Alligator mississippiensis: one gene and its partners. The protein of the gene in region 4 interacts with the protein of the main gene of each other region in a pairwise test. Links are inferred from orthologs where the notes say so. Each region holds a gene or a part of one and is shown on either strand. Other genes may lie near its edges.

Evidence for each region.
Region 1: the proteins of PPP1CB (region 4) and PPP1R3B interact in a two-hybrid assay, tested with the Homo sapiens proteins (2 studies listed by BioGRID and IntAct). The link is inferred for Alligator mississippiensis from reciprocal best matches to the Homo sapiens genes PPP1CB and PPP1R3B.
Region 2: the proteins of PPP1CB (region 4) and PPP1R16A interact in binary tests that used the Homo sapiens proteins (3 or more experiments, as listed by UniProt). The two-hybrid records come from large-scale screens. The link is inferred for Alligator mississippiensis from reciprocal best matches to the Homo sapiens genes PPP1CB and PPP1R16A.
Region 3: the proteins of PPP1CB (region 4) and PPP1R3C interact in binary tests that used the Homo sapiens proteins (3 or more experiments, as listed by UniProt). The two-hybrid records come from large-scale screens. The link is inferred for Alligator mississippiensis from reciprocal best matches to the Homo sapiens genes PPP1CB and PPP1R3C.

Annotation. Positions count from the first base shown.
Region 1 is NC_081825.1:141,790,500-141,798,414, forward strand, and holds the start of PPP1R3B (protein phosphatase 1 regulatory subunit 3B), read left to right. Parts: upstream 1-4,913; 5' UTR 4,914-5,011; coding exon 5,012-5,025; intron 5,026-7,915. UniProt on the Homo sapiens protein: Acts as a glycogen-targeting subunit for phosphatase PP1. Facilitates interaction of the PP1 with enzymes of the glycogen metabolism and regulates its activity.
Region 2 is NC_081826.1:1,681,267-1,689,061, forward strand, and holds the start of PPP1R16A (protein phosphatase 1 regulatory subunit 16A), read left to right. Parts: upstream 1-4,785; 5' UTR 4,786-4,866; exon of another isoform or gene 4,867-4,870; intron 4,871-6,087; exon of another isoform or gene 6,088-7,795. Other genes in the region: forkhead box protein H1-like, read right to left, coding at 421-654. UniProt on the Homo sapiens protein: Inhibits protein phosphatase 1 activity toward phosphorylase, myosin light chain and myosin substrates.
Region 3 is NC_081829.1:68,911,968-68,919,297, forward strand, and holds the start of PPP1R3C (protein phosphatase 1 regulatory subunit 3C), read right to left. Parts: upstream 3,001-7,330; 5' UTR 2,868-3,000; exon of another isoform or gene 2,478-2,867; intron 1,355-2,477; 5' UTR 1,354-1,354; coding exon 406-1,353; 3' UTR 1-405.
Region 4 is NC_081824.1:176,137,294-176,144,738, reverse strand, and holds the start of PPP1CB (serine/threonine-protein phosphatase PP1-beta catalytic subunit), read right to left. Parts: upstream 3,004-7,445; 5' UTR 2,777-3,003; coding exon 2,725-2,776; intron 1-2,724. UniProt on the Homo sapiens protein: Protein phosphatase that associates with over 200 regulatory proteins to form highly specific holoenzymes which dephosphorylate hundreds of biological targets.

The DNA of each region.
Region 1 (7,915 bases), on a different chromosome or scaffold from region 4:
CTGGTTTCATTTCATTGAAAAAATGCAACCACCTGTTGTTTCCCTTCTTTGCCTTGAATTAAAGGATCTGTGGGTGGGTTTTACAGTAGTGGCATTTTAGGGATTGACTATAAAGAATGAACTCATTTCTTGCTCCTTAAAACTTGAGCAAGCAGCAAAGGAAGTCCAAAGCACAGTGAATCTAGATAAAAGGCAATGAGCAAGAAGGGAGGAGGTGGAAGGGATCCTGGTCTTTCTTGCTCGGTAGCAATATCCTCGTCCCACTGGTGTCAGTGAAAGGTTTGCTATTGACTTCAGGAGGTTGAGGGTTTTACCCTCAGTGAGGAATACATAGTAAAGATCCTTTCCATTGGACGAGAGTAGTCTATATTACTTGCAAGCATATCTCCTCAGATGGGCTGGTTTCCCAGTCCAGCCCCACTGCATGTTATAGTGCAAATTTGTGTATGAGAGGCCAGGCATACAGGGGGATAGTGGTGTAATGCCAGTCTCACAGCAAACTGGAGTCCCCACAAACAGGTTTCCCTTGCACTTGCTCTGGAGTACAACAGAACTGCATTCCCTGAAGTACACCACACAAGGTCTTGAAGATTCAAAGCTACAGCATATGGTTATTAACATTGCACCTGGGTGCAAGTAAGATTGATTGACAGGAAGATACTAAGTGGATCCAATAGCATTAAGTTAGAAAACTCATTTTGACTAATGCATTCTTGCAATGCTTACCAGAACTAGAGGAGTTTTAATGCTCCAATATCATGTTCCTGTGATTACATTACAAAGTTCCAGTGTGATGATAACATATCATAACATGATAACATAATAGCAATGACAACAATAACAATGACAACAGCAACGACCCTGTTATAATACTCAAGTGTTCTGTTTCTGAAGCAACAGGCCTAAGCATCTATCTCTGGATCTGCATCCAGTTTGATTTTCTCTGCCCATCCCAAGTCTTAGGGTTGTGACACAAGCAGATCTGGGGCCTGACTCTACAGTCTTTGAAGGTGTTGGGCCTAGAGTCTGGTCTTGGACCCACACCCTGTGTCATAGAATAGCTCTTCATCCTCCAGCCATAAGGAAGAGCTGAGGAAATAGAGGATTCCCTCCCAGTCTTAAGACAAAAATATTTAATGAGAGTGGATGGACCCTAAAAGGATCACCAGGAAGGTTACACAAGTGTAAAAAGAGTAGCTAAATATAGCTCTTATCTCATTGTCCAGGTGGATAAGCTCTCCACCACCTGTAATAGGGCTTCACCCTAAGCCCTTGTGCAGTTACCATTGCTCTGACAGCAATTGCCAGGCAGCAGTTGTGAAATATGCAGCGCTTGGGGTTAAAACAAACACATCCATTTACTGGAGGACAAAATGCAATCGTCTGAGGTCTACAGAGCTCCTTGTGAGTTTCTCCTATAGTTTTGGAAGGGGCTTCTTTGAAACCTACAGGCTTTTGAAAATCTCACTCACAGCTTTCTACAGGTTTGAACATCTTTAAAAATCTGGCTGTAAGTAACTTGCCTTAGATCACAAGGGTGACTCAGTAGCAGAGAAATTAACCTAAGTCTCCGAGCTGGCATGTAACCACAGTGTCACCTGTCCTTTATTGGTATTTGGTTACAATTTGCCTTTGGAGTGGATTTGTAAATTATTTCAGCTAAGTGAAAGTTTGCTAAATGTCAACAGCTAACTTTGTTGTAGCCCTGTGAGCTTCTGCTGCAACTCTTTAAAAGTGCCTGGGAATTAATATCCAAGGGCTTGTGGCCAAGCTGTGTGGCTGTAGGAAAGGGTTTGCCAGTTGCTTTGTAGGTCAGGAAACACACCTGTCCTGCTGGGGAGGAAGAGACTGATGCTTGGGTCTCAGCAGGAAAACTGGCTTTGAAAAGATAGGGTGTGTAGTCAGGGACTGGGAGGAAAATTGCCTACCTGGCTTAGGGAAGTGACACCCTGCACTTGACCTACTTTTGGCTCCCCAGGCAGTTAGTATAACATGCCCTGGAGAAGCAAGGATGTTCATCTGTCTGAGTTAAACTCTCCCTGGGTTCTGAAATGAAATTGGCTAGTGCTCAAACAGCATTGTGATTGTGCCTTGCTAAGTGCCCTGTACTCAGCTGGACCATGGTGACCCCCTTGGGGGGTCCAGAGGTCCACAAATGTATTATATAATTGTTTATAACTGGCTTCCAGATCTCAGACTTGCTCTCTGAGTGGTTCTGTCCACATCCCCTCTAAAGATTGCTCCAGTCCATAACCTGCTAGTGTGCTGTCTGTCATTCCTCCATACCCTGTCATTTCTGTAGTTGAAGACTCCTGCACAGTAAATATGCTTTAGTTTTTCTTGGTTCCTTTAAAATGTATGTAGCAGTTGATTTCTGGGCTGTAGCAAGAGATCATTTCCACTGAGATTACCCTTTTACTTTACAGAACCACTAAGTGTATGATATTGTAACTTACTCCTCCTCAGCCCAGGGCTTAACAATGACTGTGCGCGTTCCCACAAGTTAATTAAAAGCAAATGTCAGCAGAAAGGGTGCAGCTCTTTAGTTCTGGCTGTATGTTGTAAGCTGTAAGATAGCAGAAAGATCATGTGCAGTTATCAAGGAAGGGGGAGCTTGTGCTAGAGCTGGATGAACACAGGCAGATGAGGCAACACTTTTCCAGCTCTGATGCATACCAAGCTGTGCTAGGGGTAGGTAGCTACAGCTTCCGGTCTCTCAGTCCTGCCACATAAGCCCCAGGGATATTTGATCATGCGGCAGGGCTAAATAGCTCCAGAAAGTAGGGGTGAATTATAGAGTTGCCATGCTCCACATAAGCAAGCAGATCAGGTCTGAGTCAGGGGAACACACGTGCCAGACTCCGTTCTGATGCAAACCTCCCTTTAGGCTTTCAAAGGATGTCTCCATATAAACATTGAGCTGCCCCCTTTTCCCCTCTCAGCCATGTATGAAGTCTTAGAATTCCTGCCTATTTTGTGTACCCACTTCACAAAGACAATGCAGTGCGCTGGACTGCTAGGAATGTGAATTGTGTACTTGGATATCAAAACAGAGACCACATCTGGAGAGGATGGATACTCCCAGGTGCCAGCAGGCAAGCCAAGGGAGACAAAACACTGGCTGCTCAGAAAAAATAAGGCTGGAGACCTTCATCTAGACTTGGCTGTGCTGGCTCTAAAACAATGTACATAAAACATCAAGGCTAAAAATTCACTGAGTTTGGTTATTGATTCACCTGTTGCAAAATGGGAACTGTGAATAAATAGAGCTAAAGATTTTCTAGCTTCATTGTAGCTTCTGTAATTACCTTTGAATCCACTGCTGAAGTGCTATGTGATAACTGGATCAACAACCGCTGCAAACTGTAACGAGTTATCAATACAGCAACACAGCACTGTGGAGGGGACAAGTTCCCTCTTGTACATGGGTGAAAGCACAGCAGTGGGTTTGTAGTCACTGCGACAGATGTATTTAACTTACAAAGTCAGCCACAAGTGGAGGTATAAAGCTGTGGGGAATATACCTCCGGGCAACACTCAAAGGTGCCTTGTCTTTGCTGTGCGTTTTGCCTACGGAGAGTTCCGGCATATTGGCTACGCTCCCATTTTTTCAGCAGTGAGAACAAGCCAAATACTAGGCTTTTTTAAAAATGAATTTATAAAATTGCCAAGGCTGTTTGCCAAGACCAAGCACAAACCTGCCTACCCTGGAAGGTCCATACTCATCTCAACTCCTGCTTTAGCTCCCTTGAATTAAAAACCCATCAATAAACTCAGGCTGGAAAAAAAAATGTGTCTAGAATAAGCCTGCTCAGTCACAAGACTCTGCTCTCCCATAACTAAGGTTAGCCTCTGCTATCTACACCCACACTGACAGAAGACAGTGCAGGGTAGCTGGCTAGGAAGTTCCTTAACTGCTGGATTGTACAACCAACAACCCTCAAATGCTTGATTGTATGAATGGGCGCAAGCAGGCCGGTTATAACCCTCATTCAGTTCAGGTTAGCTTTTTGTTGGGTGAGGACAAGGATTTCCCAGTAAAAGTAAAGGCTCCCGTCCTCAGCCTCAAATGTAATGCTTTTTTTTTTTTTTTTTTTGGTGGTGGGGGGAAGCTTAGCGCAGGCAGGACTGAGGAAGAACACTTGGGTATGTGACGGTGTTACAAGCAAACGGGTGAATGGGTGGGAAGGCAACTGAGGCTCTTGAAGTGGGAGAGCGGGGAAGTGCGGGCTGAGGAGAGGAGTCGGTGGCAGAGCTGAAGTCTTTCATTAGCCCAACTGGATTTTTGCAAAAGCAATTCTTTCATTGTCTGAGGAGAGGGCAGGGCAGGGCCCGCGCGCGCTCACGTGCGCAGCAGGGGAGATGCTGCAGCTGCGAGAGGCCAGGACTGATGCCAGGCGAGGGGGCTTCTTGAATGCACGCCAGCTTTTTCTTGGAGGGGGTCTTTTATTGGACCAGCTGTGTGGCTGGGACAGAGGCAGGCAGGCTTTCTAAAGCAAGCCTAAGCAGGGAGCGGCCCCCCACGGCCTTGCCTTCCTCCTCGCTTTGCGCACGCAAATGTGGGGGAGCCACGGGTTGCTTCCACCTCGTGCCTAGGGAGCAAAGGCGTTGCATTTTGGGGAAGCGGGGGGAGGATCTTGCCTTCGCTCACTCCCTCTCCTGAGGCGGGTGCGGGGGCCCCCTCAACTGGGGGAAGGAGGGAAGCAACCCCCCTTCACCCCTCCAGCCTGGGAGGGGAAGGAGAGAGCCGCCCAGCGGAGGGGGCGTGTCCCTGCGCCTTCCGGGCGCAGCCAGGCTGGTGTCCACGTGCCGGGCTGCTGCGCGCTCACGCGGAAGCCGGTCTGCCATTGGCCGGCCGGCCGGGTTCGGGGCGCGCCCATTGGCTGCGGTGTGGTTCCATGGGTGGAACGCCCGGGCGCCCTTAAGAAGTAGGGAGCAGCGGGGCGGCTGGTCTCATCTGCCGCTGTAGCGCGCTGGGGGTTAGGGCCTGCGCCAGGCCCCCGCCGGACCCATGCATTGCACCAGGTAGGAGGGAGGTCGGAGCCCCCCGGGAGCTGGGGGGGCAGCGGGGTCCCTGGGGTGGCGGCGATATCCACCTTTGTCCCAGGCTGGGGGCCGGGAGGGAGCAGCCTGCTTTGTGAGGTGGGAGGAGATGGCTGCCCCTGCGCCCCTTGGGCTACATCCCGGTCTCGGAGGTCTCAAGGGAGTGGATGGGTGTCCTCACTCTGTGTAGCCCCGTCTGCAAAAACTTTTTCCAAGTGTATGTGCAAATGAGGGGGAAATGCAGGAAGAGACTCCCTCCTGACTCCCAGGTTAAGGCTCTGGCAGTGCTCTGCAGGGCTTTCCTCAAGGAGAGAGACTCCCACAGAAGTCCCTAGACTCCTGACCCTCCTGCCCTTGCAGCAGTTCAAAGCAGCCAGGCTTACAATTTAAAGGGGGAAAAATGGGCCGGGGTTGGGGTACAGCAGTGCTTTGCTTGGGATGGTTTCAGAAGGAGCTGTCTTGACTGGAGTGCCCATATAAGTACATGGGGTCTGAAATGTCAGCGAAACATGTCAGTGCTCTCCCTGCTAAACTCTAGCTCCGCTCCATGTGAAATGGCTGAGAGGTTAATCCCTGAAATGGGAATACTTGCTTGGCCTTAAATACATGGGCTCTGTGGGGCGTATCTGCAATGCAGACCACAAGGAACTTGCCAAAAATTGGTACTGCAGCTTGAGTGCATGCCAGTTTTTTTCTTAAACTGTAGAAAAAGGGAGAAGACAATTCACATAGCATCCGGATCCACATCTGCCTAGGGGTTTTTATTCCAGTGCTTAAAAGCTGCAGGGCAGCCCTAGGTCCCAGTGACTGCAGTCTCTATTGATAAGCACTTTGTTCTGCCAAATTAATTCATCTTTGCAATGGCGAATACCCTGCAACTGCTTTTTTTAAGAGCAAGTAACCAGTCGCCTAAATTCCACAAATTATTCTGTCTTGCTCTTGAGTCCAGAGCAAGCTGTATAACTAGGGTGAGCATGTTGTCCATCTGACTTGCCAAGCAGTTCTTTATGTGAATGAAAGGTGTTGCCTCTTCCTGTAGCTTTTTCTGGGGTGGGTGGTGGCTTTTGTTTCGGGGATTCATGCTGTTGGGAACTCCTTCTGAGAGGCTGAAACTGCACTAGCTTGATTGTTCTCCTGGATTGCAAACGCATGTGGTGGTTAACCGAGTTTCAGAGTTTTACCTCTTCCCTTCTGTCCTTGTCAACTTGTTTGATAGCAGACTTCCCAATCTCTCTCTCTCATTATTTGCTGTGTAAAAGAATGGTTTGCCACTTCTGGGTCCTGCAAGGTTCATTGCTGTTTCTGCGTTCTTTAGTGGTTTGTGGTGTTTTACCAGGCATGCCTGGGGAGAAGACTGGCAGTCACCCTTCTGTATGGGACTCTTACTGATGACACCTAGTGCTATCTCCAAGCTTCACTCCTGGCAGATAGGCTAATTCTCAAGCAACTGCAAGTTGCATCCAGAAAGCAGCTGCCTTGTGGTATTGCAGGTAGACATGATCACAGTGCCCATGTTATGGATGAGTCTTCCTTGAGGAGGGCCACATTCTGCACTGTTGGAATTGTTTATGGGTTGGAATTGTTTAAAAAAATTTGTCGTCTTAATTTGTGTTGCAGAGGACCACTAGCCACCAGTGCAGTTTGTACTGGGCTCTGTAGTTAGCCCACCTCCAGAGATCCTGAAGGTGTTGAATAGTTTTATTACTATCTGATTCCAGCTGTCTGGGAGAGGCCTAAGACGAGCTGAGAGGGTTGGAAGGAGGATTTGTGAGGAGGCTAGCAGGCCTGAAGAATGCCTGAAATGACAGCTAAATTACCAAGCGGTATCAAAATAATTTCTGAAAGTGAAACTAATTGTTCCTTCTTTCAAGTCAGGACCCAAAATAGCTAAGGCTGTTCATGCTTTTTAGCCATAACCATCTACCATGCAACCTGTAATGTATTTCCAAAACTTTCTTCAGCTAGTCCACCCACAGTGTGCTTTAAAGGTTGCTAGTCAGTTCTTGATGCCGTATTAATCTTTTGCAAGCAAGTAGGACAGAAAGCATGAGGTGAGAAACTGCTTCTGGATCTGCACTAATGAACAAATAAAGTTCTGACATTTGTGATGGGCAAAGGCATTGAAAACTGGACAGAAGACCTTCAGACTTGAAAACTGATGCCATCAAGTTGCCAGTGTTTTTAAATGCCCATCTTCACATTCCTGTAAATGGATGCTATTTTTACTTTCAAAACTGATTCACTGGAAAGAGGCCTATATAACAACTTTCACTTCAGATTTTTAAACCCCTTTGTTTTTAAATTTGATGACGAGCATTAATGAGTTCCTTGAGTCCATGACCTACAAGGGAGGCAAAAGTTTTCCATTTAAGGTGGTTCAGCAGAGCCGTATCTAATCATCTTGGAACTTTTATAGCCAGTGTCTCCAGTTCAATCCAGAGCAAGAAGTCCCATCCAGATTTATAAAATGTTAGTTGAAAATAGCAGTGCATTTTATAGGCTCAGTGGCTTGTCTTTAGTGATTAATATAAGATGTTGCCTGAACTTAGACTTTTGATTCTAACTTTATAAAATTATGTTTTGAGGGTGTTGTTCAGCTGTGGCTTTCTTCTAATACTTAATACAGAAGGTATTCATATATTAACTGGCTAATTGAGAATTATCACTAGGAACATTGCTCCAGTTCCTGAGAAGTGCTTAAATGGTAGGGAGGCTTCACTGTGATACGGCAGGACCCTGTAATGTGGATGGGGCTGCTGTAGATAACAGGGATTGTGAATATTTGAGGCAGTATTGGTTAGCAGAAGGAAATGACCTACAGAATAATAATAACTGTGTGAGTGTGCATAGAGGCTTGGCTAAAACATACACA
Region 2 (7,795 bases), on a different chromosome or scaffold from region 4:
GCCCAGCGCCTCTGGGGGCGGCTTCAGCCCCCGCTGAGATCTGTAGCAAGAGAGGGGGAAGATCCCTCTCCAGCCCCGGACGGCAAAGAGCTCCAGACATCCAAGGGACACTGGGCCCAGGCGCTGGCGGGCGCTGAGCTCCCCTGGGGCCCGGCAAGACTCCCCCCACCCCCAGCTCACCTCCTTGCTTCTCCTCATCTGACCCCTGACCTGGCTATTTGCATTGCATGCAGCAGGGCAGGGGGCATCCCCTACCCGCAGGGGGTGGCTCCTGCCTCGGCAGCCCTGATGCCTCCAGCTGTGCAGTGTGATACCTCCAGCTGTCCATGCAGCCCCTGCAGCTGCCAGCCCAGGGGATTGGGGTGATGCCTAGGCCGTCCCACTATGCTCCCCTGTGCCCGTCTCACCCCCGGTGCTCACCTGGGCCAGCTTGAGGCGGCGGCCGGGTGCGGCCTGGATGACCAGGGCGATCATGGCCAGGTAGGTGTAGGGCGGCTTGGCGTGGCGGCTGTACTTCTTCTTCCTCTTGCCCCCCCTCCTGCCGCCAGCCTGGCCCGGGCTCTGCCTGGCCCCATCCCCTGCCAGCTCCTGGGCTTCCTCCGCCGGGCACAGGCTGGTGCCCTCCTCCGGGCTGCTCTGGTCCAGGCTGGCCATGGGCAGGGAGCCGGTGCCCAGGGCCTCTGAAGGTGAAGGTCAGCCCCGACCCATCCAGTGGGGATCTTCCAGGTGTGGGGAAGCCTGTCCCCACCGACTGGCCCCCTCCATCCATCCACTCAGGGCTTTATCATGCTGATCAGAGCCTGGCCCGGCTGGAGACAGGCTGCTGGCACCAGGAGGAGGGGGCTAGCAAGCAAACAATTCGCAGGTTTCTGCTAATCTGGCTGCTGGGAGGGGGTCCTGACCTGGCTGGGGGGCGAGGGGGGCACTGCCCTGTCCGTGGCACTCCCACCGGCACACAGCCTGCTACCCATCTGCCCCTTCCCAGCTCCCCCAGGCCCCCGGCCGGGGCTGTGCGGGGAGCATGCCCAGCCTGGGTCCAGCCGGGACCCTCCCAGCCAGCACCCCCACCCCGACTGCTCAGCCAGGAGCCCCCCAGGGCAGGTCCCAGCTCCCACCCCCCACAATGGGGTACAGGACTGGCTCCAGGCCACCCTCCATCCCGTGATGCATGCATCGGTCGTGGCTCTGCGCTGGGGCACGAGAGGGGGGCTCCCAGGACGTGCTCCCGGCTGCTCCAGAGCCCTTGCAGCCACCCTGAGACCCATGATACGGACAGCTACATGCATGCACATGCATGGCACGTGTGGGGAGGGGAGGGGAGGGGAGGGACAGCCCATCCCCTATCACGGGCCCCCATGGCTGACACAGGTCTGGGTGCTTAGGCTTTATTGATGGGCCCTGCCCGTGCACAGCGCCGTGGTCCCCGGCTCTGGCCCCTGGCTCAGGTCCAGCGAGCCCGGGGCACCCAGAGGCTGCAGCATGAGGGTCCCGGTGTCCTTGCCTCCGACTTCCCTGGGGATGGGGGTTCCCCTCCGGCCTCCGCGGGACGTGCCCCTCCAAGCTCCGTCTGCTCCGGGCCGACGTCTGGGCACTGCTGCACCCCTGGCGCTGTTCCCGGGGCACCCTGCCCCGTCCCCGCGTGCCCGAGCTAGCGTGGGCCCCGGCGCCTCTCTGCGCCCCTCTGCACCGTTTCGCCCTTCTTCCGCGAGCTCCGGCTTCTCTCTTCACCTGGTGCAGTGCCCCCGTGTTCCCGTGGTGGCTCCGAGTGGCCCCGGGGCCGGTCCTGGCTGTGCTCTGCAGCCCCAGTGCCCCCCTCAGGTGCCCGCTGAGCTGGCACCTCCTCACCCCATCGTGCCGCCCGCCGCGAGCGCCGCTCGAAGACGGCCACGATGCGCTGGACGTGGTGCTCGACCTGCGGCTGTGGTGCCACATCCGGGGCTGAGGGGCCAGCTGCGGCCAGGGGCTGGGCGGCAACACCAGGGCTTGGTCTCCCCTGACGGCCACGCGGGTGGTCACAGAAGAGGCAGGAGCATGTAGCCACGGCCGGGGGCAACTCCTCGTCCCTGCGGGGGCTGGTGCCAGGCTGCGGCAGAGGAGGGTCCTGAGGATCAGAGAGCCGTGAGGCTGGCAGGGATCTGCGGGACCACATCCAGCCTTGAGGCAGGATCAGGCCCATCCAAACCCCATTTCCAACCTCAGAGCCACATGACAGTTGCTCCTGACACAGCCCTGGGCATCACCCCCACCCCCAGGATACAGGGGGGCTGCGGCCACCATCGCCTTGCTACTGCCAGGGGGGTTGTGGGCGCTGCAGAGAGCCGAGGCCAGGCCGTGCCCCCGCTGCAGAGGAAGGGGAAACCCCCCAGTGCGCACCAGTCTGAGCAGGGGGAAATCCCGTTCTGCCCCAGTGCAGTGGGGCTGAGCCTGAGCGCGGGGGCAAGACCCTCCAGCCGGGACCCTGCGGGGTTGGTGTCAGCAGGAGCATTGGCCCAGCCCCATCCCCAGCCTGGGCTGCAGCCAGTGCCCAGCTTCTGCCCCTCTGCCCCCCGGGGCCGCAGCTGCTACCCGAGACCCTGGCTGCAGCACCCGAGACCCCGAGGGCACCATCTCCCAGCCCTGCCCACAAACCAGCACGCACTGGGCTGGGCCCTGCACAGGTGTCCGAGCCCAAGGAGCTGCACCTGGCCCCACTGCCGGTGCCCCCTGGCACCCCCAGTCCCTGGGGCTGGCGAGAAGGGGTGCCCGGGGTGGGACATGGGGCCTCTGCATCCTGGGGCTGGAAAGGGTCCCTGAGCTCCCGTCCCCCTCACCTGGTGTCGCGCCGGGTGCTGCGTGCTGGACTTCCTTCTCCGCAGCCCCCTGCCCCCCGGGGCTGCAGCAGGCTGGGGGAGCTGGCCGCGGTGCCCGGCCTCGACCGGGTCAACTGGGCCAGAGGCATCGGGCCAGGCCCAGCTCGGGGCCCCGGGAGACTCCGGCTCCTCGTCCGCCATCTGCTCCAGCCAGCGCCGCACCTCCGAGAGCCTCTTCTGCAGCGGGCGCCGCGCGGGCGCCCTGCGGCTGGCACCGCTGTCCTCGTCCTGCTCCAGCACCCGCGGGGACCAGGCGTCCTTGGAGGGTCCCCCCGGCCCCGGCAGAGCCCCGCGGTGCTGGTTCAGGCGCTGGCAAGCCGGGCAGCTCTGCAGGTGGGCGAGCATGCAGCGGGGCAGGAGCCGGGGGCATGCCCCCACGCCCAGCTCACTGCTCCCTGCCCCTGGGGCCGGTGGTGCCGCCTGGGTGCCCGGGGCCTCCTGGGGCTCGCGCCAGCCCACGGGCTCCAGCCGACGCTCCCTCTGGCAGCAGTCGCAGGACGGGGCGTTGCTGCTGTGGCTGGTGCTGGGTGTTGGCTGGCCTGGCTCGGCCCCCCACCTGCCTGGCTGGGGCCACGGCCTCGTGCTGGAAGGGTCCCGGCCCCGTTGCCGGGCTCGTGCTCCTGCCCCAGAGGTCCCGATCCTGCCAGGTGCCTCGTCCAGGTTCTCGTAGGTGCCCGAGGCGCCTCCTGGGCTGGGCCCCGGCCCCTGCTCCCCGGCCTGGAGCTTGGCGTAGAAGAAGGAGTCGAGCTTCTCGGCCACGTTGCGCTCGAAGACGGAGACGCGCTCGATGGCGGTGTGGGCGGCACGGCCGGGCGGGGGCTCCGGGCCCCGGCTCCACGGCACGGCCCCGCTGGGGGGCACAGGCGCGTGCCCCCGTGTCCTGCTGCCCGGGCCGGGGGGGGTGCCAGGCTTCCCTGCCCCGCTGCAGGACAGCTCGCAGTCGCGCAGGGACCGGGACAGGTCTGGAGGGGCCGGAACGGGGATGCTTGGGAACGATCCCGCTCTGGCCCCGCTCCCCTGGCCCGTTGCACCCCCCCCTCACCAGGATCCCTGTGAAACCCGGCACAGCCGCTGCGGATGTACAGCTCCGAGCGCGGCATGGCCCCGGGCTCCTGGGGGAGCTGCAGGGATCACGGCCCTAGCAGCTCAGGCCCTTACCGGAGATGACGGAGGCCGCTGAGCGGTGGGAGCGGGGCCCCCCGCCTTCCCCCCAGCCCTCGTCCCTCCGAGGGGCGTCGGGGACGGAGTCGGGCTCCGTCTCCCAGTCCTCGTCCTCGCAGCCAGCCGGGAGCCAGGACCGGTCGATCCTCCCGTGGTGCCCCGCTCTCGGGCCGGCGCCGGGGGGGCCAGCCCAGGCCATGGCAGAGCGGGGCAGAGCGGGGCGCGGGGCTGCGGCTGCCAGGGTGGAGCTGCCCCATTGTGAGGTCAGCAGAATGCGGCGAGGCAGCTCGGGGAGGGGGCGCGCCCGGGGGCCGAGCGGGGCCGGCGGGCCGTGGACCCCAGCGGCCCCTGGCAGCGGGGGCTGGGGGCAGACCGAGCATCAGAACGGGGCGGGATGCGGGGGGCAAGCGGGTCTCAGCGCCGGGGACCCCAGGAGGGTCTCCCGCCTGGTGCTTGGCGCGCTCCACACTGCTGGCTGCGGGACGCTTGCCAGGCGCCGTGCCCCAAAAGGCTCTCAGGGGTCAGTGTGCCCCTGACCCCGACCCTGACGGGCCCAGTCCTCCCCAGGGCACTGCCCAGCGCTCCAGCAGAGGATGGCAGACCTTCAGGGGCACAAACCTGAACCCCCCTCCCCTTCCCTCCCCTATAATCTCCTGGGCCCCCACTGCTTTGGGGGCTGCCTGGCCCCGCCCCCAGCTGGGGGAGCCCCGCCCCCCTGGAGGGGCGCCGCTTCCGCCACACTCAACATGGCGCCGGCACTCGCTTCCGGCGGGCGTTCCGCCTCGGCCGGAAGTGTGAGCGGTTGCCATGGCGAGGGGCGGCGGAGGGGACCCGCCCCGGCGAGGGGAGCGGCCCGGTAGGTCCGTGCGCGGCGGCGGCGGCGGCGGGGCACGGGGTCCCATGGGGGTGCTGCGGGGTCGGGGCCGCGTGTGTGTTTGAGCTCTCCGGGCTCTTGTGAATGGTGTTTGCACACCTGACAGCGCTGGCTTTGCGTGGCGCCCTGCGGCACCCCTGCAAGGGTGTGCAGGACCCGGTCGAGACTCCCTGCGGGGCTGCGGGCCTGGACGCGCCGGCCCCCGCTGAGCACCGCGCTGCTGCGGCCCGCGGGCCGGTCGGGAGGCCGCACCCCCTCCCCCCCAGACGGGGGTCCGCCATGAGCCGGGCGAGCTGCCACCCCAGAGCCCGGGAGCGTCCGGCTTTGGCCGGGGTCAAGCGGCACGATCGCCACCCCCTCGCTCGCCCGTTTGCTCGCTGCTTTAGCCCTTATCGTCACGGCACGTGCTTGCGGCATGCGGCCGGGCGGATTACGGGTGGACGGCCCTCGCCGTGCCCGTGGCGAGCGAGGAGGCAGCGCGGCTCCGAGCAGCCGGATTATCTCTCTTAAGGCCGGCGGGGGCTCGGAGGAGGGTTTTGCAGCTGAGAGCCGCGAGGACTTTTGCTTCCCGGACTTTGAACTTGGCAGGCGGGGGTTGCGCGGTGCCTCCGCGTGCCGTTAGCGGGGTGTCTCCTGCAGCTGGGGGGCTCGGGGTAGGGGTCGCGCTCTTTGGCTGCCCCTCTGGCACCTCAGAGGGCACTGCCCCGGCCGGTGTCGGCCCCCCGTCTGAATGAGCTTGGTGCCTGTTTCCTGCTGAGTTGGACAGACTACTGCTGTGGGGCTCCTTGCAATGGCTGGGTTCAGAGAGGGCAGCAGCACGAGGGTATTTGATTTCAGGAAAACACACCCTGGGACATTAGGAGATGCGATGCAGGGCCTAATCGTGCACGCTGGGAGCAGAGCAGAGGAGCGTGCAGCACGCCGGAGCTGCTGCCGGCTGGGCGCGACGGCGGCGCTGCACGAGCAGGGAGCTCTGGTGCCACCAGCCCTGGACTCTTTCATTCAGCACGGGCGCCGCGCCGCCAGGAAGGTGCTGATAAATGGGGGGGCTCGGGGCAGAGCAACAGAAATCTGTCTGGGGCTGGAAGGACTGACCAAGCAGGGCAAATAAGAGGTCGGACTCAGCAGCTGCGTGGCAGGGGCATTCGGGGTGCTGCGGGGGGGAGCGGATGCAGGAGGGTAGACGGGGAGAAACCAGCAGTGTGGTGACCCTCAAGGGAAACTCCCCAGAAATCTGATCCTCGCATCCCCTGGAGGCGCTGGTCCTGGCCCCGCTCCTGTGGGGGGTCCTGCTCCCCTCCCAGCAGGAAGCTTTGTTGCTCTGGCGCTTGGGAGCAGCTGAAATCTGCTCCGTTCTACGCAGATGTTGTCACGCGCCAGACGTGCCATTGTGTCCCAGGCCGGGGCAGTGGAGGAAGGCCCCCCGGGACTTGGCTGGCGTGCAGTGTGTTGTCTCCAAGCGGCCTCTCTGCTCTGGCCTCGGCTTTGGCCGAGCGCCTTCTGTTCCCAGGTGGGTTGGGCCTCCAGGCTGCTGTTCCCCAGGGAGCTTCTCCCCCTTTTCAGTCTTCAGTTCTGCCTCGCTGGGCTGGGAGGTGGCCGTGAGGGACTCAGAAGCCCAAGGCTTCTTGCGTGATGATGACACGCATTTCCTGTCTGTGTTTCAGCCCCCCGTGCAATGGCGCTTTCAGGAGGAAAGGCAGATGAGCTGTCAGCGGAGTGCCTTTGCGTGGGTCACGAGAGGCTTGCCGGGCATGCTCCTGACACGGCAGGCAGGGAGTTCAGAGCACCCACCCTGCAGGCCCTTCTGCCCTTCATTTCAGTAGTTGGCCTGTGTGCATCGAACCTCGGCCGGGCGCGTCGCTATTGCCCAGCTGGGATGTGGTGCTCAGTCTGTTCAGGGCTGATCACCCGGAGGCGAAGGGCTGGTGTCTGGGCTGCAGCATCTCTCTGGAATTGTCATGCTGCTCAGAGGTCGGACGCGGGGTTTGCCTGGGATGGTTTGGACAGGGCTGATCTGGCCTAGACGTGGCCCCTACAGGACCCTGCCAGCCCCACAGCTCTGTGGTTGCTATGAATTCATCACGTTTTGTGCCAGGATCCTTTCCTGCAGCACACCGTACAGCTCCCTAGAGCCCTTTCAGGTGACTGACAGGATGCATTCCCACTCTTCCCCCTTGACAGACCGTTCCACAGACTACAGAGTTCAGTGCTGAGCAGTGTTTCCTGATCTCCGATCCCCGGTAAAAGATCTCGAGGCCCAGTCACTTCTGTTGCTCTTGTTTTTCTCCTGGTGTGGTGACGTTTTTGTCCTGGTATTGCGGTTCCCAGAACCGAGATGGCCCTCCCAGGGCCGAGAACCGCAGCGCTGCTCCTCGGACCGTCCAGCTCTTGCTTAGCGCAAAGCTGGGTCTAAACACTTTGTGAATGCTTGGACAAGGTGAAGCAGCAGAAAGCCCGGCTCTGGGGGCATTCCCTGTGTTGAGCTTGCATCTCAAATGGGGCAGGTCCCTGGTGTCCCTAAGTTTTCCACACTGCTGAAAGCCAGTCCCAAGCATTGGCCTTGTACCCCGGCCTCTGCACAGGTGCCAGGGACTCTGTGATGGCCCTGCTTGCAGGGGACACCTCACGTCTCCAGGTTTGGCGTGTGGGAATGTGGGCATGGCAGGCTCTGGGACGTCTCTCTGCAAGCACCAGGGATAAGCCCTGCTGAGAGGTGGAGGGTCAGGCAGGAGAAGGGTGGTGGGCCCTCCAGCGACTATCACACAAGCTCGCAGTTGGTGCAGTACAAGGACCCAAGGACTACTGTGGCTTTTGTCCAAACGGCTTGCTCTCACTCCTTGGCTCTTCCCAGCCCCCAGCTGAGCCAGTGTGGAAGTGGGGAAGGTAGATAGCTCAGCTTGATTATTTGCAG
Region 3 (7,330 bases), on a different chromosome or scaffold from region 4:
CCTAATGATTAAAGGCAAGTAAATATCAGAAAAAGTTTAGTATGTTTAACCTAGGCATGCTATATGTACAGTAGGTAACAAACTGAAGGGCTTGCTTTTCGTTTTTAAAAATGGGCTTCTGTTTATCCATGGGTAAGATTTTGGGCTGTGAGGTTCTTAAAAAACAAAAAAGAAAAAAAAAAGTAAGAAAATGTAGAAGTTAAGATGGTCATTTGCCTGAAAAGATGGATACAAATAAACAAACTTCATACACACACAAACAAAAAACTTAAGGCCCAAGTAGAAGTGAATTTCGATTTGAAAGAAGAATCAAAACCTACTCAGAGGTTTTGTACTATGTGAAGCACAGGTAGACTAACATTCTTCAGTTGTTGAAAGCAGGAATGTTCATTGGCTTGTAACTTATCACCAATATGGGGCTGAGTTTTCAATCCTGCCCCAACTCTGCCATGCAGGAAAGAGACCATTGGACATCCTTGGACTTCCAAACCGCTCAGCTTCATTTTCCTGTGTTTTCCTTGGAATGTTGTCAATGGCACGGTCTTTTTTGGTAGATGCTGGTACTTGGACACCATCAGGTTTCCATTCTGCATGGAGAATTTTATAGTTCTGACCCTCATTATTGTCCCAGAAGATGTGCTCTCCACTTTGGTAAGAAATGCAAAATTCAGTCTTCTCTTGAATGGGAATGGCTGTAGGCAGGTCAATGGCAAATGAGAAGGTATCACTATCGGAGTCTCCGTACACATTGTTCATGTAGACACAGTCAACATTGGTGTAACTTTTCCATGTATCAAAGGTAATCCGAACCTGAACCATTTTCTCAAAGCTGACATTTTTCACTTTCACTGTCCCCGATACTGCCCTTTCTTGCAGTGTACAATTTTCGAGGCAGACAAAATTCTTTTGCAACCGATTCCGGAAGTCTAAATAGTCAGCTGAAGGCTGAGAGAAACCCAGAATCAAGTTTTTCTCTTCATGTAGTTTTAAACTGGCTGTTATGTCCTCAAGATCTAACAAGTTAAATTGAAGATCCCATACAGGATGCTCCTGGAATTCAGAGAAGACGTGTATTGCGGTCAAAGAAAGCCCTTTTGAGTCCGCAAACACAACTCGTTTTTTGGCTCGGCTTGGTGAACGGTTCCAGTCGTTACTCTGAGACTCAGATTCTCGTTTCAAATTGAGACACGACCTTAGAGGCTTAAATCTGTTAACAAAGTTGTTTCTTTGACAGTCATCAAGGGGACTGAGAAAACTCTTCAGAGGTGGAGAATGGGCTAAGCATATTCTCATGGCCACATCAACAGGCATCATAGAGGTGGGCAAATGTCTTGGGTCCAAGATCTGTATCATTCTGAAATTGAGTGGGGAGACAGCATGTTAGGTTGTTTGCTACATCAGGTATACATTGGAAGAGAGCTTCCTAAGGAGCTCCGCATGCTTGACTTCATACAGTGTCCTAATTATTCAATGCAATACAAAAAACAAACTGTGGTTCAGTTGGAGCTAAGGAATTAGCATAAATCAATCAACCATTCTTGAGAATTCTGGATTGTTTGGATTTGGCCAGATTCTTTCATTTTTCCCAACAAACCTCTCTGCAAGAGAGGATTTTAAATTACACAATTATTCAAAATATACTTTCACCCCCCTTCCCCTAGCAGATATTCATATCAAAATATACTTTCACCCCCCTTCCCCCTAGCAGATATTCACGCATGAAAGAGGATTTTCATACACTAGTACAGATCTTGCTATTCATAATGAAAGGGTGCATCTGATTTAGAAAGCTCCAGTCAAAAAGGTACTAAGCAAGTTTCCATAGATTTTGGCAAATTGGTTCATCTGGAAATAACACTATATGACTCAGGTTAGATGCTATGTTCACATCATAAATAAAAATATTTTCAAGCCCGTTTGAATTATTCTAATGCACAAGAGGTCAAGCTCATTTGATTAACAACACTTTTTCACCTAGCTCTAAGTACTAGGGGCATACTGTACCTTCTTTTGGCTAATTTAAGTTATGCAAAAAGAATGTGATTCTCCCTATCCCCCCTCCCCCCCCACCTCAGTGCAATGAGATAATATAGCAGCTCTTAAAAATGCTTTCCTTCTGCAATCATCTTTAAATTCATGTGTAAGATCTACCACTGACCTACTGTAAGACTATAGGGGTTTTATGCTACAGTCTAATTATAAACCATCTCATCCCCTAGTGACTATTCAGGAAATACATCCTGGACGTATAGGTTTGTGAGCTGGGCTTCCAGTGCAATCCTTTTGACAGCTGTCGTGTATTCTGCATTAAAATCTAAAATTCTGTTGCGTCATAAGAAGTGAGAATATTTGCTTTGTCATGTTCAGAAACAGGTTTCTCCTTCCAGCACTTTCACTGGTACGGCAGAGCAGTGCGAGAAATAGGTGGGGGAGGATTTTTTTTTTTTTTTTTTTTTTTTTTTTTAACTAGGCTCCAAGTCTCATGGCTCTGGGCTGTTAGGGCAAGCAGTGGGGGAAGACAAGCAAGGCAGCACTCTTAGCTGAACGCAGCATATTCTCAGTCTCCGGGGTGGCATACACCCCACCGCCCTCTTGGAAGTTCCCAGCCCAGTTTTCTTCCCACAAACCAGCAATTCAAATCCCGACAATTCTGCTGCTTTTGCAGCCGCCTCTCCCTCGTTATGCTAAGAATGATCGAGGAGCAAGGAGAAGGCAGGGCGGGCCCCCAAGTCAGGGCCGCCTGGGACGGGGCGCTTTCGGGCCCTGGGCGAGAGCGGGGAGACGAGAGAAGCCGGGTGTCGGGCCGGCCCCGCCGCGCTGGCGGTCACAGACGCTGCCTGCCCCGGGAGCGGGTCCCCTGGACTTACCTGGCGCAGGTGATTAGCCAGCGCGGTGCGGCGAGATGCTTCTGCTCCGCGGTCGCTCGGGTGCAGGCTCTCGCTTGCGGCTCGCCCTGCCCGGCCCTGCCCGGCCCGGCCCCGCTCTGCTGCAGCGCCGCCCCGGCCGCTTATCTAGAGCCGCGCTGCCCCTTCACGCGGAGCCGCCCGCAGCCAACCCCGCCCCGCTGGCTCCGTCCCGCTGCCCCGCCAGCTGCCGCGGCCGCCCCTGCGGGACTGGGGGGCGCTCCCGGCCAGCCCCGGGGGCCCGCATGGCGGGCTTTCTGCCGACGCACATCAGCAGATTTCAGGGGGCGCATTGCCTTGAGGCGCCTCCCGGGGTGTGGGGATCATCACCGCACTTCCTTTACAAGCAAACTGCATTTCCTAAACGTGGAGTCGGGCCTCCAGGGGTATTTAGTGGTGGGAGCAGCTGTCATGGATATGGGCTGAAGCAGCATAAGCCCGCGGGGGAGGGCGCGGTTCTGAGGGGTCCCCACTGCCCGGTGCCAGAGGCGAGGGTCCCTTGTAGGCTACTGAGGAAAGCCCTGATCCGAAACATGGGAAGGGATAAAGTGCTGCTCCCTGTCAGCGCCCCACTGCTGTCGGTGGGCTTCCCCCTCCACGAGGGGCCTGCCCGCAGGAGCTTGGTTGCGGGGTGAACATCTATCCCCGCTTATTTTGTAGGACTGGACTGGGAAGCCCTGGGCTGCTGGAAGGAGGAGGTGTCAGGAAAGCAAGGGCTGTTTATTCTCTCCCCCCCAACACCTAAGAACATACGAAAAATAGCCCAACAAGCAAGTTCACTTGGTTTCTAAATGTAATATTTTTAACCAGCTGCAAAGTGAATAACAGCCCCTCTCCAGACAGCAAGCCAGGCAAATAGCTGCCATTCGTTTCCTAATAGAAAATGTAAATGATGAGGTAGCTCCCATGTTTGTATTTTTATATATATTTAACCTTAAAGTCTGCAAATACCAGCAAGTACTGTAGGATCGGGTGGAGGAATTATTTGCAATATATTTAAACACATTGACAAGAGACAGCATGTTGTGATATTTTGGTTTACAAAGACCTCCTGTCTTGCACAGTTTTAGCAGCTCCCAGTTTGATATCTTCTCTTTGAGGCTGCATTAAGGACTGAACCATTACCCAAGTGGGACCACACTTCTAGGATTAAAATGTAGCTTTTCTTAATCCCTTCTAGTCCCCTACAAACTGCAAAACTCCACCAAAGTTGTTTCCAAAACCACTGTTCTTGAAGAAACTTTTATTTTTTTAACATCTCTTCCCCACCCCTCACCCCTTTTTTTTCTAAGTCAGGGCACTTGAATCGTTTTATGTTTGAGAAAACATTTTTCGGAGCTGATTGCCCATGGAACTGCATCAGTGAAGGTGCTGAGCACAGATCTCTGAGAATTGACACTGTCACCTGGAGGTTCCCTGCTTAAGGAGATCCTTATGGCGATTAGCCTGGAGCTAGCAGTCTCCAGGAGTGAAGGAAGGAGGCAGCAGCAGAGTTACTGGCTGGATTTTCATTTTCAAACTTGAAGCAAAGTTTGAAAGCAAGAGGGCTAAGAGGAGTCTTTTTCAAATGGCATGTCCACAAGCAGCATGGAAGCATTCAGGGTTTGCTGTATGGGTACCCAAAGTGAAGTGAATTTTGTTTAAGCCACAACAGTGATTTTTGGAGTCCCAGCCAGAAGGGTCTGACATACTTAGAACAAAAGTAGCTTCCAGTCCAAGTTGTAGAAAACAAGCTTTACTGAAGAAACACAAACTCTGGTTGGCAGGGTCAAAAATCTCTTTGTAGCTGAATATAATTCCTCAGCCTTTGTGCAAGGTTCTCCACAACTCTTAATCAGTTAGGAAAAGTACTTTGGCATGTTGTAGAGGAGTAGACATGATTTTTATTTTCACATGTGGGTCAGCGTTATGTGAGAGTGCTACTGGATCTACAAAGGTAGTCAAGTTTCATTTACTATCTTTAGGTCATTTGCTTTTTTTAAAATTGTAGAACAAAATAAAATGTGTCAGAGAAATCTCATACAAAAAACTAGAACTCTTGGTTCCAAAATGATACCTTTTATTAGACCAACTAGAGAATGGCAAGAAAATTGTCCTTTTCTGCAAGCTTTCGGGAATCAAAGTCCCTTTGTCAGGCTCTGGGAAAAGTGTAGATGGTACAAGATGGTAAAAAGTCCCCATAGGTCGGAAATAAACTTCATTTTTGCACAGAGGGAGCTGAAGATGGAAGTCTGTCCCTCAGAGAAATCTCAACATATGCAGAATGAGCAGAAGAAAATTACTTTATTATGATGTGGTCTCCTTGCCTTTACACACCACAAAAGGCCCTCTAGCTGAGATCATCAGAGTAGTTGTGCATGTGTGTGCACATGGGGTAGTACTCACCAGGAGTCTCACCATCAGCAGGGAGGAGGTTTTGCAGAGTGTTCTGCAGCGCTATTTGCAGCAAAACCAGAATTGCAGGGATAGACCACAAGCCAGGTATTCCCCCAGCCATATGGAAGCAAGTGATGACATCTGTCTGGAAGTTGGCAGTCCCCAGTGGCAATGCCTCCTAAGTAAACCAGATCCGTATAGGCAAACCTCCCGTGGGTGTTGCCATGCAGGAGGTATATTCTACCAGAAAGCTACTGTCCCTATGTGTTAATGACCCCTAGGAAGCTATCAACAGCTTTACACATATGGGAACATGCTGGAATGTTCAGACGCTGCCCCCTAGGTTTGATTCAGACTCTGATTTATGGAAAACAGCATTACTAAACTATGAATTGGTTAGACTCAGAATTGACATTGCTGCATTATCAGCAACTTGGCTTTCAGATACAGGTTCTCTCCAAGAAAATAATTACATTATATTCTAGCATGGGAAGGTATCAGGAGAAAGGAGAGCGCAGGAAATAGGCTTTGCTATTAAAAACTTACTATCTTTCTGTGAAAGCCCCATTGCTGTATCTCTTAGACTTATGACACTCAGAGTGCATACACAGAACAGCTTCATAACGTTGTTTAGTGTCTATACACCTACATTTTCTACCAACAACTTGAAGAAGACGTTGAGAAAACTCACAAAAATTAGACTGTAATAATACTTGGCAACTTCAGGGCAAGAGTTGGATGTAGTTTTAAGAAATGGCCTCATATTCTGGGTGAACACAGAATTGGTAATATGCATAAAAATGGCCAGTAAATGTTAGAACTTCATGCAAGTCAAAAATCTGTGCAATTAAACTAACCCTGACTTTGCTGAAAAAATCACAAGAAAAACATCATGGAAACATCAAGATCAGGGCACTGGCACCAATTAGGTCTAGTACTGCCCAGGCATAACAACCTGAAAGAAATCCTGAATTATGAGGTTGTGTCACAGTGCTGACTGTGACACTAACCATGCTTTAGTCTGCTGGAAAGTCAGAATCAATGTGAAAAGATTCACCATAGCAAAACTACCAGTTGTCCTCAGATAGACATCAGCCAAACTAAAGGCATAGAAAAATGTTGATTATTTCATGAAGAAATTGCGATAGCAAGTTTACCTAAGCTCAGTCGCCAAGGCTTGAGAAAGTTTAAAAACCAACATGTACAATGCTGCTGTAACCACATTTGGCAAAAAAATTCAAGAAAAATGCAGACTGGTTTGACAAGCACTCTGAAACCCTTCTACCACTGGTTAAGAACAAAAAAAGAACAGCACTAACCAACTATAAGAAATGTCTCAGCACCATAACTCTGGAAAATTTGATTTCATAGATTTCATAGACATTAGGGCTGGAAGGGACCTCGAAAAATCATCGAGTCCAGCCCCCCGCCCAAAGGGCAGGAAGTCAGCTGGGGTCATAGGATCCCAGCAAGATAAGCATCCAGTTTCATCTTGAAGGTGTTCAATGAAGGCACTTAAACCACCTCCAATGGCAGGCTGTTCCAGACCTTGAGGGGATCACCCTCACCCGGACTTCCTGGCCCTGTAGCGGGCATGGTCGTCCCATGGGGCTGATGAAAGACTGACGCAAAGTACCTATTTAATAGGTTGGCTTTTTCCTGGGCGTCAGTTGTCAGTTGCCCCATCTGGTTCAGCAGGGGTCCAATGTTGCCCCTGCTTTTCCTCCGGCTCCCCACATATCTGAAAAAGGACTTTTTATTGTCCTTGATGCTCAAAGCTAGCTGGAGTTCAGTTGCAGCCTTGGCTTTCCTGGTCTGCTCCCTACAGGACCAGACCAGTGCAGAATAATCCTCCTTGGAGGTGACTCCCATCCTCCATCCTTTGTAGGCCTTTCTTTTTAGCCTCAGGAGGTCTGCTAGGTCCCTGGAGAGCCAGGGGGGCTGCTGTGCCCTCTTGCTGCCTTTCCTCCAAGATGGAATAGACTTAGTTTGTGCATTGAGGATCGCTCCCTTGAGGAGCAACCACTCTTCTTGAACTCCCCTCTCCCTGT
Region 4 (7,445 bases):
AAATAAAAAGATCTCACCCCCCCAAAAAATCCTCGCTGCTTCTATTGGAAATGCAAATTATACTGAGCAAACTACATAACTATTCTTGCTAGCAAAACTGCATCTACTGGGGCTCTTGCTAACAGAAGTACATTGGTAAGACATGGGTTTTTTTAACATTTGTGACAGGGCATAAAAAAACTACAACAGACTTCAACCAGTAAGTGTACAGCCTGAAGCTACACGGAGTTCTGAGGCAAAGACCATCTTTTTGATATGTCTAATGCAAATGGGTTTTGACAGGGCTGTAAATTCAGCTGCCATATAAAACACCCTCCCTTTAGACAGATAAAAAGAAACTTTAAAACTCTGTGTTTACAAGTTAAACCTATTAAAAAAAATGAAGATCTGTCAAAAAACATTTCAGCCGAAGAGCAATTTAACAAACCATTTTTCCCCCCACTCAAAACACATTTTACACTGATACTTAAAAAAAAAAAAAAGAGAGAGAGAGAAAGAAAGAGCACTACCCAGCAACACCATACTAAACTGTAAACTTAGTAAGCATCTTTGATTACATAAAAGAAACCTCTGAGTTAAGATGCCGTTACTCAAACTGTTACTCATCTTATGGCATACTGGTAGCACAGAAAGTGTAAAACAGAAATGTAAGAAAAAAAATCCTCACCCACACCAAGTAATTTTAAAAGCTAAAGATGATACCGTGACAAATTCTCAGGACAGATTCTCTTTCTGAAGCAAGGAAGAAACTTAAAAGAACCCCTGGTTAGCAGTATGGTAACAAAAATGGGGGGGGGGGGGAGGAGGAGAGGAAGAACTCTTACTGCTACAAGCCAGACAGGTTTTCCTTACCTTTTTTGCATAATTTAAATTAAGTAAATCAAACTTAAAAACAGCTTCAGAAAACACTGACTACCTACAAACAGCACAACACACATTTGAACAAATTTGTCTTTAAAAATGTAATAGTTTTCAAACAAATACACTGCCATTTTTAACACAAATTTGCTTACTACAGTCTAGACTGGTCCAAACCTAGGATGGCTATGATCTTGTTTAGTTGTTATATGAAACCCCTGGAAACACTACGTCTTACCAACTATTTTAAATATGGATATGCACTTTCTTTGGAAAGCAGCTACTGTATACATGGAGTTTCATGGTTTACTTTATTAAGATAAATGATAGCTAAGAAAAACGAGACAACCAAGTGCTTAAAAAGTGGTTCTACAATATTTTAATAAACTGTATCAATTAAATAGGAATACAAATAAGCAAACTAGAAAAAAAATAGATTACTACCCTGGACAAAATTTACCAGTGCCCCTATGTATGGAAGATGTATATATGCAGGCCGGAAAGTCTTTAATCCCTGAAAATGGAGCTTATGCTGGAAAGTGCATGTTAAGTGGTCACAAAGGGGCCTGTACAGAAAATCTTACTTGATAAACATTCTTAGATTTCAAGCAACTCAAAAGGTAAGTTGTCATCTGCCCAGCCAACAAATATTTACACTCCACCGAAGGACAAATACAAGCATTTGAAATGCCTCCTGCAACAATACACTAAGCACAAACATATTAGCAGAACTACCCCCAACAACCCTCTTGTGGCCAGGCGCACGCTCTCCATCTATCAGCACCCCAGATTTTCACTGTTTACTCATTATGAAGTCAGACAACAACCTGGCACAGCCCCCCCCCCGTCAGCCCCAACAGGACGGGGCACAGATTACAGCCCAGGGGCTCATAGTACAAAGTCCAGATCTTTTACCTGCTGGATGTACAGCTACCTAGTCCGTGGCATCAGACTAAAACCACTTGCAAAGAAACTTATGTCCAATTCGTTTTGCATTTACATATAATGGACACATGAGATTTATAAGTATTTAATTAAAAATATGTTATGAAGAATTTACTATTGCATACATCTTAAATTCTGTGGTTGTTGACTGTAGCCGTGTTGGTCTAAGGACATAGGCAGACGTGGTCCTTTGGGTAAGTGTAATATATCTTTTTTTAGACCAACTAAATAGTTGAAAAATTGTTCTTTGCAAGCTTTTGGGCACAAACACCCTTCTTCAGGCAGAGGGAAACTACTGGCATTACGTGTTCTCCAAGGCAGAACCAACACCCCTGGCAGCCTTGCCGCAACTCCTATTCACTGCCCATCCCTGTGCAACCGTGCACCCAACCCCTCTGCCCCAGTGGCCTATTCTTGCAGGTGGGTGGCAGGGTGTAAGGCAAGACCCCCCCACCCCAACAGGGGGAAGCTTTACAACAAGGATGTTTGGGGCCTGGATTTAACCCTTTAGTGGACCCTACACAAACACATTCGTGGGCCCCTTCTTAATACTGTGTATATTACTTTTTAATTTTCCCACTCCAGAATTATAATAGGTATAGAAGAAGCACAAGCAGGCCCCTTCCTCACTTAGGGCCCTAGGCATATACTTGGACGTTCACCCAGCCCTGAGAATACTCAGGGCACAAGGAGGTCCCCCTCGGCAAAGGAGAAGACAGCAACAAATTTCCCACCATCTCCAGGAGGATTTATTCCCTCATGCACCGAGGTCCCCCGCGCCCCCCCCCCCATCTCCCTGAGGAACTGCCCCCCGCCCGCACACACACTGCCCCCCAGGTGTGGCGGGGAGGAAAGAGGGGATTCGCAGCCCCGCCCCAGCGGGGGGAGGGAAAAGGGGGCGCTGGGGAGGGGGGGGCTCACCTTCCAGCAGGCGGGTGATGAGGCTGTCCACGTTCAGCTCCCCGTCCGCCATTTTGTGTCCAGCCGACTCGGCGCCGGGCGGGGTGGAGAGGCCTCGGCGAACGCGGCTTCCCCCCGCCCCGCGCAACCAACGGCCGCCCGACTGCTCCCGCGCTGCCCCCGACTGTGCCCGGCTCGCGCCCTCGCCGCGGAATGGGGGCGGAAGAGAGAGAGAGAGAGAGAGAGAGAGAGAGAGAGAGAGAGAGAGAGAGAGAGAGACAGCCGCCCCTCCTCCCCGCCTCAGAGGCCGCCTCTGCGCATGCGCCGCAAAACCCCCTCCCGCGTCTCTTGCCGCGGCTGCTTTGCTCCAGGCACTCCCAGAAATGCGCAGCCGCAGGGGAGGGGGCTCTTCCCTCCCTGTCTCGCGGCTGCCTCGCTTGAGGGCCAACTGCGCAGGTGCAGAGGGCTCCTTTTTTTTTTTCCAACCCTCCTCCCGCTAAGCTTGAGGGCCGACTGCGCAAGCGCAGAGGGCTTTTCCCTGACCACCTGTTTTCCCGCTTCGGAGCCGACTGCGCAGGCGCGGAGGGTTTTTTTTTCTGCTCCCCCCCCCTCTTCCCCGCTTTGCTTGAGGGCCGACTGCGCAGGCGTGGCGGGCTGCTGCGCTTGCGGTACTAGGATGAGTGCGCATGCGTGTGCGGCTTTGCTTTTTTTTCTCGGTAGCAGGCGGGCCTGAGCGGGGCGGGGCAGCCCTCTGCTCTGCCCGCGGGCCGAGTGCACAAATAGTAGTGTCAGTGCATAACACAGTGTGAGCCCTGTTTGCTGCCTCCTGTTCGCACTGCAGCACCCCGATGTGATGCCACGCAGGGCGAGGTTATGCTGCCTGGCAGCTCAGTGGTACTCCCCTGACCTGATCCTTTGAGCTGGCACCACGTCTGTGCATCCTGCGGGCTACTTGTGTTCCCTTCAGGTGGGCCAGAAAAGAGGAATGGGAAGTCGCTGTTGAAGGGCTGCTATTAGATGCCTTAAAAATGGTGGGAACAGGTCAATTCGGTGACTGTTCGTGGCACAGCCCTGACAGCTCCACATGCTGAAGGAGCTGTTTGGATAAGTTGCATGTCCTGGATGGGGCCAGTCCTGTGGGCATGCATTTTATCCCAGTACACCGCACTGCTGGTTTGGCTGAAGTGCAGAAATTGGCTGTGTGTTCACGCACACATTAGACACCAGGAGTGGGCAAAATGTGGGCTGAACGCAGCCCACCAGGCCATTCTATCGGGCCCACGGGGCCCCTAAAAAAATTAGAAAATTAATATTTATCTGCCCCTGGTTGCCTGTCATGTGGCCCTCAATGGCTTACCAAAACTCAGTAAGCGGCCCTCCGCCCAAAATAATTGCCTGCCCCTGTCATACATGCAGGGGTGCGCAACCTTTCAGTCAGCCAGATGAGTGGCATAGGGCCAGCCCACAGGTACCCTGATCCAGCCCTGTGCTGCCCCAGCCTGATATACCTGATCTAGTGCAGAGAACCACACTACAGGTTTCCCCTGCTTTATACAGGTTCTCCATGTGCGAATTCACTCCTATGCGATGACCTTTTTATACCAAAAATGTGTTATATGCGAGGTAAATTCACCCTTACATGATTGGTGTGGTGGAAGCTCACATTCAGCTGCTTTATGCGGTGCAAGGGATTTTTGGTGCTTTCCTTAGTACCTCAGCCCCTAAAAATGTCACTGCGTGAGAATTTCTCCTTATAATTAAACAGAAGTTGCCTCAAAGCGTAAGGGTTGAAAATGTTAGACCCCCAACAGGCTGCTTATTGACAGGTGCACCCTTCCTCCTGCACCTGTCAAAGCTCATAGTTTGTTGTAAAAAAGTTGTTAATGCTGGAATGCCAAGCTAATCACTAAACCAATGATTAACACAGTTGTCAAAATCTATAGCCTAATCAGAAAGGTCTGGGCTGCAGTGTGAATAGGACCTTTAAACACTATATTCTTTTTCCATTCCTGAAATATTTTTCAAGATTCATTCTTGAAAACCATTTAAGTATATGCACATGCCAACAAGTGCTTACTTGCATGGGCAGAAAAATGCTTTTAAAAGTAGCAGTTAAACTCTTCTCATGAAAAGAGACATAACATGCTCATCTACATATAGCCAGCTGAACAGTAGTTATTTTTTCTGGTGCTGAGTAAACTGTAAATTATCTAGAAATATCAATCAGGACTTGTAGTAGAGATGATATCTTTTATTAGACCAACCAGATTTTTGTAAAAAAAAAAAATTATTTAATTGCAAGCTTTTGGGCACAAACATCCTTCATCAGGCATTGGAGAAAAAAAATTGTAAAAGTTCTCCTGGGTAGAAATATCAAGTCACTATTTAGATGACTAAATATAGAATCAGACTAGATGTCTCTAGGAACTTACATTTGAATTTTTCCATCAATACACACCAACCAGAAAAGTCATGTTATCTTAAGAAATCTTCAGGAATCAGTTTTCACATCATGATCAGGGAAAAGCAAGTCTGAGCAACATTTTAAGAAACATCCTTAAGGCAAGGTGATGAATAGGTGGGAGACTATGTTGGGGTGCCCAAACACTAACATGAGGAGAGGCTCTTTTGATATGTAGGAGGAGGATGTATTTTTGCTGAGTATACTAAAACAAGAGGATTCAGAATTATAAAAAGACTCAAAGTTTGACTTTTTATTCCCATTAGCAAACGGCAGATAATAAAATGTCATTTCAGCTCATCTGCTGAAAGCATATATGCATATACAAACTCTTTTTTAGACCTTTATGTTAACATTGGGGGCTAAATGACACTTGGAAATCTTTGTTCATTTTTTGCTGAGAGTTAGAAAGCCTGATTATTTAGCTTTCTTTTTTTTTTTTTTTTTTTTTTTTTTTTTTTTTTTAACTGGTTCATGGCTACCAAATGCAGTAGATGTGCTACCAGAGGTTGCACTTTTTGTCCCCTTTGCAATTCACGCTACTAAACTTCCTTGAATGTTAGTTTAGGCCAGGGATGTCAAAGACACAGCTCATGGGCTGGATCCAGGCCATGAAGCTGGATCATTTGGCCTGCAGTGCTTCCTGCTACAATGCAGTATGCACTGGAATTGGCCTTGCAAGCCACATGTGGTACACAGCCTGTCTGGCATGGGCTGCACATAGAATGGGGCTGGTCTGGGATGCGCACTACATGCAGCATCTGTGTTGGACCAGCCCTCCACACTAGATCCAGGGCCAGTCGGTATGGGGACGCAAACCAACCCTGCATGCTGAATCTGGCCCATAGGACTGGGTTGGTGTGGGCACCACATGTGGCATATGCCCCAGACCAGCACTGTGTCCAGTGTGTAGCAGGCATGCCAGACCAGCCCCACGTACTGCATGCTGCACACAGGACCAGGAGGTGTGTGCATGCAGCATGCAGGTCTGGAGCTAGTGTTTGCATTACAAGCAGTACACATGGTGTATGCTGCATGCAGAGGCTGCACTAGACCAGCCATGAGAGCTGGATCCAGCACATGGGACCAGTCTGTGGGGCTAATCCAGCATGCAGGCTGGCCCCACGCCCATACTCTGGCCCATGAGACTGGGTGCATTTGACTCCCATGGTTTAAGCTATCATGACATTAAGCTGTGACATGATGATGTTGCTTGGTAATAGGCCATTGTATGACAACAGGATAGAGATGTCACATTGTGACACAGTGGTACAAAGAGCCCAACAGTACAAAAATCCGAAAGCCAACAAACCTAAAAGGTACATTGAACAAAACCCAAATTGTGATAGCTTTATATAGTAGGCCCTTTAAAATGTTTCTTCAATGTTTCAGTGGAATGCCAGAAAAATCAAAGGACAGGACAAGCAGAGATGCTGCAACAGAGAACCCACAACAAAGACTGAAGATAGGTGCATGGGGAAATCCCTTGCTTTTTTATTTTCTTGATTTCAGTTACAAACTCTCTTTTCATGCATCTTCCTTTTTATATTAACGCCATATCATGTGCTAAACCAAATAGCTAATATATATGCGTTCTTGAAAAGCTCAGTTAAGTACATTGGGTTTGATTTTCTACTCTTGTATTATAATTGTTTTATAATGGGGTGATTGCATTAAATCAGTGGAATTAACTCAGTACATACAGTAATTAGGCTCATCATCTCCCACAAAACAGAAAGAAATGCTGCATTTGGACTTAAAGCAACATTCTCATTGACCAGGAAGACATGAAAAGCCACTTGCAGCAAACAGGGATGAATCCCAGGGTATTTTACTGGTGTTCTGAGTGGAGTTAAGCATGTACTGGTGCTTCTGGCAAACTTCCACTGATCATTCTCCTCTTTCTTAATTTCCTTTCTGTTATTTTAAAATTTCCTCCTTTGTCTCCAATCATCCTTTTCTCTTTATTGATCTCTCCTCAACTGTATGTATGACCTGCTACTGTAAATGCCCTTTGTTTCAATGTCCTTCCCTCCCCCTATTCTACCAGCAAGTGCTCTGGGCTTTTATAAACCCACAAAGGACTCAACATTTCAAATGAGATAAACAAATAAAAGTGTGTTGGGAGGTGGGGCTCCTTAATTATGTTACCTCCCTACATTCTCTATTGTAGATACTCTAAGACTGATCCTATACCCATTTCCAGACCATTGCTTCAACTTTTGAAATAAGTTTAGTCATTGCCATAAGTATTATGCTGGCTTGTCCAGACTTACTTTCA